Lepisosteus oculatus: one gene and its partner. The protein of the gene in region 2 interacts with the protein of the main gene of each other region in a biochemical or structural test. Links are inferred from orthologs where the notes say so. Each region holds a gene or a part of one and is shown on either strand. Other genes may lie near its edges.

Region 1 (3,750 bases), on a different chromosome or scaffold from region 2:
AAAAGATACACTAATAATAATTCCTTACACTTATATAGCACTTTTCTGGACACTCCACTCAAAGCGCATTACAGGTAATGGGGACTCCCCTCCACCACCACCCACCTGGATGATGCGACAGCAGTCATAGTGTGCCAGAACGCTCACCACACACCAGCTCTCAGTGGGGAGGAGAACAGAGTGATGAAGCCAATTCATAGATGGGGATTATTAGGAGGCCGTGATTGGTAAAGGCCAATGGCCAATTAGCTTTCCCAGGAGGTGTCCCATCCAGATACTTCAGTGGGTTGCCAGTTGTGCGTTGTAGGGTGATATAGCTGCTCGCCAAATGTGGTGCAATGTTTGTTTGTTGTTTCAGGATTAAGACAAGTTCACCCATTATTCAATACTATACCTATCTACTTTCAGTTCTGACAGTTCTGTCACCCACTTCCCACAAGGCAATCTATATATGCAGTAACCTGTGTTACTACATTAGGAGCATCACAGAGGCTGGCCTTGGAACTATTGTGTCTTGAAATTTAAGTGCTGTTGGTTACATGCAGTGTCATATACTTCACTGCAAAATAACAGCTGAAACCAAATACTGCATAAATTCTGTGGCCAATGAAACTGCAAGCAGGTGGATGAGTTAGGCAATCATTAATACAACTAAGCTGATTAAAGTCTGGGTTAATTAAGAGATAAGGTAAGATAAGACAAGACTTTATTGATCCCGTAGGGAAATTGATGATTACCTTTAAAATAAAAAAGACTGTACTATTTTTCAAACATTTGTGCAACATTTTATGGACACCTGTTTGGTAGCCTATTTGTATCATGCCACAAAATGTAATTGCACACTGTGCAAATACTTTGTATTTTAAACATAGATATAGAGTATTATTACAGATTAGAGTAATATTATGCATAGATCAATTGTTGTCTCAAGCAACGCAGGGAGAAGAAATGTATTGCTCCCGAAACCGAACCAGCCAGCCTTAATTAAAACAGTGGCTCACATTGTCCTTGGAATGAATTCAATCTTTTGCTGTCACAAATTGAGACTTCCGCTTCCTTTACCGAAAGAAGGGCAGTGATTGGTTCTCTGATTTTCCTCTCTTCCAATTGACGCCAGTATCGCGCTCTGTTATTGGTTTAAAAGAGGGATCCAGGGGGCGGTGTTGAAGTTAGAGGACAGGTTCAAGATGGCGTTGTTTAGGAGCTTGGTTCAGTCTGGCAGGGTAAGGGCTTCTCTAAGGTTTTGTTATGGCTATTTGGTTATTTGAGTCGTTGCTTCAACTTGCGGTGTGTTTTTGTTTTCTCTGCCCTCAATAGAGCGTAGTCTCTGTGACACTGAGGAGGGAGTTTCACAGGACATCGCCGGCTTCTTTGCAGGTACTTTTCTACTTTATCCAAAGCCGCAGGAATGACGGGAGAAGGTTAATTCACCCAGTATATTCTATGCTTCCCCACTTCTGGTTGAAGCTAAGCTAACCTACATTTTGTAATGCAGGTTTACGCCTTTTGACAGGTTTTCTTGTGCGCTGTCACGGATAACTTTGACATTGTGAGGGACCTCTGAATTTGTGGGTGGTACCTTTCCGTTTTGTCTTGTGAGTAGGCGATAGGCTGCTTCAGTACGAGGAATCTAGAAACGCTTAATGTAGTAGTACGTAAGCCGGTAATTGAGGAATTCGAATGCCAGACGAGTACCAACTATGTATTGTACCATAAATAGCGTCTTCAATATGCAGTGTTAGTTGTGTTTAACATGCTTAATTCAAGCCTTCTGATGCCACTCGCTGTTTTGAGCAGATGAGTGCTAGCTTAGTTGCTTGTAATTTTTTTTGGGGGGGTTCATTTGATTTTCCTAAAGCATTAAGTAGGGTAAGAGGCTCAACTCTTTTTGTTGGCCTAAGGTTTTGTGATTTCCCCAGTTAAGCAATGTCCAATTATAGAACTAGTTGACCTGGTTTTCATTTTACATCTGAGCTTTGCCTTTTCTAGATGTCAATCTTGAGGCAGCTAATATTGGCTTTACAAATCAATATCCCCCTTGGTTCTGGTGTCTTTTGCATTATCCACTGTGTGCAGTGCTAAACATCTAGCAAATGCCTAATGCTGTTAAACGAAACCAGAGGCTGCTCTGGGTACACATTTCAGTATAAAATCCCAATGTTCCAAAAGTTTTGGTATGGTGGCTATCTTGTGTGCATGTACTTTGAATGCACCTTCCCTGCAAGGCAGGATTGAGGTCCCTTCAAGAGGATACAGATGTGTGTATGAAGATCTGCCACCAACTGGGCCAAATGGTCTCCTTGTTTGTAGGCAGAAATACTTTGCTTACTTTCTGACAAGTGACTATCTTAATTTGGCAAACTTCTTTGCTTTTTAACTTGTAAGTAGAACCTTAACTTGGGTTTGAGGTCTTTTAAGTTAAATTGGTATCTGGGACTTTCCTGTTGCATCATCTCAACCTAAGTAACCCTTTACCTTCAAGGTGACTGTTCGTGATGCTTTGAACCAAGCAATGGATGAAGAGCTGGAGAGGGATGAACGTGTGTTTCTGCTTGGTGAGGAAGTAGCACAGTATGATGGCGCTTATAAGGTAGGCTAACATCCAGAACCAGTTTGTGGAAATACATTTTGTAAAGGACTTGTGCCACATGGGTGTTGGACTTAATTGCCATTGTTACTGATTTTTTTTTTTATAGGTTAGCAGAGGACTGTGGAAGAAATATGGGGACAAACGTATAATTGACACTCCCATTACTGAGGTGAGCATTCTCTTCTTAAATGCTGATGGGGATTTTCTTAACCAGTTGCTGTTCATTATGATAATGTGGCATGTTACTGTCTTCTAGATGGGTTTTGCTGGCATTGCAGTTGGTGCTGCTATGGTGAGTTGACTTCTTTTCGTTAGAAGTCCATATGACTTAAGTATTGCTGTCATGTCTCTCTCCAACCTCCCTCATGCCTTGCTAGCCATGAACCCCTTGTCAACTTCAATTTTCTAAATGAAGAACAAATGGTATCCTTAATGTTGCATTCTGTAAAACATTTGCATCCATCTGTACCTCTACAATCTGAATGTTGGCCAATGACCTGTGTCTGATTTACTATCACTAGCCACATGTCTGTGAACAGCTTTGGCTGTCTGACCTTGGTGTTGAGGAAATGTGACAACTGGTATAAAACTGTCAAATGTTGACATGATGCCAATTTATTGATTTCTTTCCAGGCTGGCTTGAGGCCTATTTGTGAGTTCATGACCTTCAACTTCTCAATGCAAGCCATTGATCAAGTTATAAACTCGGCTGCCAAAACCTACTACATGTCTTCTGGTATACAGCCTGTCTCCATTGTGTTCCGTGGACCTAATGGAGCTGCTGCTGGGGTGGCAGCCCAGCATTCCCAGTGTTTTGCAGCTTGGTATGGGCACTGCCCTGGTCTGAAGGTGCTCAGCCCTTGGAATGCTGAGGATGCCAAGGGTCTGCTGAAATCGGCTATTCGAGATGATAATCCAGGTACTGTAGCTCTAGGGCATTAATGTTTTGTCCTCTTTACTCCCTCATTGGGCAGACTTTTTTTTTTAGGACTTTAATACTATGTTAACATGCTGTAAAAAAGCAGTTTGGTTTATACTCTTCAGCATTTGATATTAAGGTGATTTTTTTTTAGACTTATTTCAAAATGAAACTGTTAAAGTTGGCTAAGGAAATCTAAATCTCATTATGATAATCGGGATTGGTGGTTTATAGACCCCAC
Region 2 (3,750 bases):
TATGATCCTGGAGTATCCTGACAAGGAGGTGTGCAGTAGAGAGGCAGAACATCAGTGCATGTTTTTTAAAAACGGGCCTGTCTGGTCCCTCTGGCCTGAGTGCTCACAGCCTGCGTTGCACGGTTGGTTTCTGTAGAAACGCCCCCCTGCTGTCACTGTGTTTCAGAAGAGCCGCGAACGAGGCGTACACTGCACTGCTCGCTGGCACAAGTCTCGATTCGAACCTGCTGCTTCACACGCCCAGCAGAACCGCAGGCAGATACCCGGGACACTGACGTTTCACAAGACGCCTGCTTCGAGAATCAGTCCGATACATCATAAGAAACCAAGACACACTGTTATTGTTCAGCTTATTCTGCAAAAGTTCCTTAATTTTTACTTCACTGACGATATTTCATGGCAACTTCTAAAGGAAGTTAAAGGTGCTTCCCAGGCCACTTCACACAGTTTATACAGCGGTGTCTGCGCGCCCCCTGGAGGCGACAGGTGGAACTACTGCTGTTCTGTCACTCGTGGACATTCAGTTGAGCCGGATGCTCTGCAACAGAGTCTCGGTATTGCCTGCAGGGCCTCAGTGTTTCCGGTTTTACTTGCTTAAAATCAAAGCGTATGTTGGTTCTTTATAAACAGCATCTACCCTCTATTAAGGGAGAAGACAAATCCTCGACAACTCGAGAACATGTAAACTCGCAAAAGGTGCCCCCGACCGGAATCGAACCCAGGTCACGCCGCAATGTTCGAGAACATTTCTGTGTTGTTTCACCTTGTATCTAGATCAGCTACACGTGCGATATAAGCTGCCTTATCAATAGCTTATAGAATACATAGAAGATACTTTTTATTCATGCCATCCCGCAACGCAATTTTGAATTGACAGTTTTCAATCGATGTATGCCTGCTCACTGGTTTAGGTTCTTTTCAAAACCACAACGCAAGAAAAAGAGAACGCGGAGGGGATCTGTTCTACATCTTTAGTTACTGGTAGAGTTACTGAGCTCTACCAAGACCGATATTTTAAAACAACAATATCAGAGAAACACAGTAGGGTAGTTATTAGCTAATGTATTTCAACAGGACGCCGAGGTCAGAGTCGCAAAAGCTGAGTCCTATAAAAAGCGACACCACCCCCTCCCGCCTGTGCAGAGGCAGAGACGCGCTGCTTGACGACAGCGTGCTTTACGACCTCACACGACTCTGGTGGGCGGAGCCTAGGTGCTGCGGGTAAGCCGTAAAGCGAGATGTTTTGAGACGGGGAGGTCATTGGAAAGTGAGGGAGGGACTCTCGTTATAAACTGGGGGACACCGGAGCGGCATTAAGGCTGTCGGCTCTGAAGCATTAAAAGGCCAGCTCTTCTGCAGAGTGGGGAACTTCTTGGTGTTGCGCCGTTAAGCGAGCAGCTCGGAATGTTGCGTTGGGCGGTGCGGTTGCGGCAGTCGGTGCGGGTCCCCCGCTTCGGCCCCGGCTCGGCCCCCGGGATGAGCTCCCGGCCGGGGTCCTGCCGTCTCAGGAGGTACCACTCCGGAGGTTCGGCCCGGGTCCGGCCCGTGTGCTACGCCACCGCGGTTACCTGCGGCAGGGGCGGGTTTCTGCAGAGTTACCTGTCCGCACGGAGCTGCCAAGGCAAGCGGCTGTACAGCCTGCCGCCCCACCAGAAGGTAAGGCTTCTCCCAGACGGGCTTGACGGTTTCCTGCTCGCCCACCTGGGCGGGCGTGTGCATCTTTATAGAGGCTTCTGTATAGAGCTCCCAAACTGTGTGGTGCAGCGTTAGGAATGGACAAAATGGCGCTGTGTAGGCTGCCAAATAAGTCTAAACTTTCTTTCACGGAGACATAAATGTTCCACCTTTCCAGTGCTTGGCACGAATTGCGCCACGGTGCTAAGTCGGGGTAACTGCTTAGCAACGCTAACGGCAGGCTTTCCTGTCCCGAGTGTTTCTGCTCCGCGCTGCGCGGCCGGCTGTCCGTGTCACCTTGCAGCTTGAGGCCGCTGGGCTCCGGGCCGGGCCGTAGCTCCTCTCCGAGAGCTGACCTTTCTCACGGGGCATTCTCTCCAGTGTGAGCTTCTCTTTCCCTGCGGTTCAGGCTCATAAACGGCTTGTTTCAGGTGTCCCTTTAGGTCACCTGAGAGAGAGGCTCCGAGGTTTGCTTCTGATGATCAGCTGTTCAGTGCCCGTCTAGCTCATGTGGTTTTTCGGTTGCTAATATCTTCTGGGGACCTCATCCAGACTTGTCTTGGATGATGCCGGAGTATTCGCCTCAATGACTTGGCTTTGCAGTTGTTCCGGACTTCCAGTAACACATTTTTTCTGCTTTGATCCTCAAATAAGTGCACACCTGTCCTGTCCTGTCCTCCTTGACAGCTGGGATTGTTACAGAAGTCTGTTGATGTGAAGCCCCTTGCCTCTGTAAAGCAGCAGTACCTCAGTGGGGATTCGAACCCACAGCTTGCCCTGACTGCTCCTCCACACTGCTCCCCTGCCTTAGTCTTGGCATCCCTGTGTGTGGAGAGCAGGCGTCCTGGACCTGACTGTGCATGCCCCTGGCTCCTATTGGACAGGGCTGTGGGCGTGTCCTGCACTGTGCTCTGCCATTTCTTCTCTTTTCAGCATGGAATAAACCTTTAACTTGTTCCTTTGCATTAAAATAAAATGGCCCAATTTCCCAAAATAAATCGCTCAGCAGTATGGGACACAAATGAGCAGGGTGTTGAAGAGAGCAGCCTTGCGGTTTTCGATGCAGAGGTTGAATGCGCGCTTTAACAGTAAGTGCGCCTGTGCGAGGAGGAGGAGGAGGTCTCTGTGTCACGGTGTGGTTTGGCTCTGTGCAGGTGGTGCTGCCCGCACTCTCCCCCACAATGCAGAATGGCACCATCGCTCGCTGGGAGAAGAAAGAGGGGGACAAGATCAGCGAGGGGGACCTGATCGCCGAGGTGAGGGTGCAGGACTGCTCCTGTGTCCCGTGGCTGCACAGTGCTGGCCCACAATTAGAGCCGTCGGCCATGCTGTCTCGTCTGTATTTCTCCCTTCATCTCTCTCCTTTCTCACACCTGCCTCGCCCTGGTCTTGCGTGCTCTAACCCCACACTCGCTCTCTCGCCAGGTGGAGACGGACAAGGCCACGGTGGGCTTTGAGATTCTGGAGGAGTGTTACTTGGCGAAGATCCTGGTGGCAGAGGGAACCAGGGACGTGCCCATTGGTGCCGTCATCTGTATAACTGTGGAGAGGTAAACTTCCCGTTTCCGCTTTCCTGTCTTGGATCAGGCAGCGAAGAACTATCGTAGCCTTTAAAATAGCTGGGAAGAAAAGCCCGATGTCTAATCCTGCAGTTTTCAGGACTCTATCGCTTCTCAGACACTGCTGTTAATGGGCAGACAAGACAGGTTTGCAGAGAATTTGGAAACGGTCTGTAACTGATGTTGAGTGGCGTCTGCGAAGCACTGCAGGAGTTTGGGTTGCAAGCAGAGTTGCTGAGCTTTTAGGCGAGCGATTGTGGATTTTAGTTGAGTGCCCAGCGCTGGTCCTGCTGTTCTGAGTGTCCCCAGGAAGGGCTCTGGGCAGAAGCAGTAGCTGGTCTGTGGGGCTGCCTGCCTGCCTGCTTGCTGTGTTTGTGGGCAGCCTGTGTCTGACATCATGCTGTTGCTCGTTCTGCCCTCCCTGCAGCCCTGACCTCGTCCCTGCCTTCAAAGACTACACTCTGGACATGGCATCTGCACCCCCCAGCCCAGCAGCAACAGCGGCGGCGGCGGCCCC

Evidence for each region. The genes of interacting proteins can lie anywhere in the genome.
Region 1: the proteins of dlat (region 2) and pdhb form a complex in vitro, tested with the Homo sapiens proteins (2 studies listed by BioGRID and IntAct, with this or other methods). The link is inferred for Lepisosteus oculatus from reciprocal best matches to the Homo sapiens genes DLAT and PDHB.

What each region holds. Positions count from the first base shown.
Region 1 is NC_090699.1:56,371,914-56,375,663, reverse strand, and holds the start of pdhb (pyruvate dehydrogenase E1 component subunit beta, mitochondrial), read left to right. Parts: upstream 1-1,127; 5' UTR 1,128-1,187; coding exon 1,188-1,223; intron 1,224-1,317; coding exon 1,318-1,377; intron 1,378-2,482; coding exon 2,483-2,590; intron 2,591-2,696; coding exon 2,697-2,759; intron 2,760-2,846; coding exon 2,847-2,882; intron 2,883-3,223; coding exon 3,224-3,509; intron 3,510-3,750. UniProt on the Homo sapiens protein: The pyruvate dehydrogenase complex catalyzes the overall conversion of pyruvate to acetyl-CoA and CO(2), and thereby links the glycolytic pathway to the tricarboxylic cycle.
Region 2 is NC_090718.1:15,306,483-15,310,232, reverse strand, and holds the start of dlat (dihydrolipoyllysine-residue acetyltransferase component of pyruvate dehydrogenase complex, mitochondrial), read left to right. Parts: upstream 1-1,210; 5' UTR 1,211-1,404; coding exon 1,405-1,656; intron 1,657-2,828; coding exon 2,829-2,930; intron 2,931-3,099; coding exon 3,100-3,224; intron 3,225-3,660; coding exon 3,661-3,750.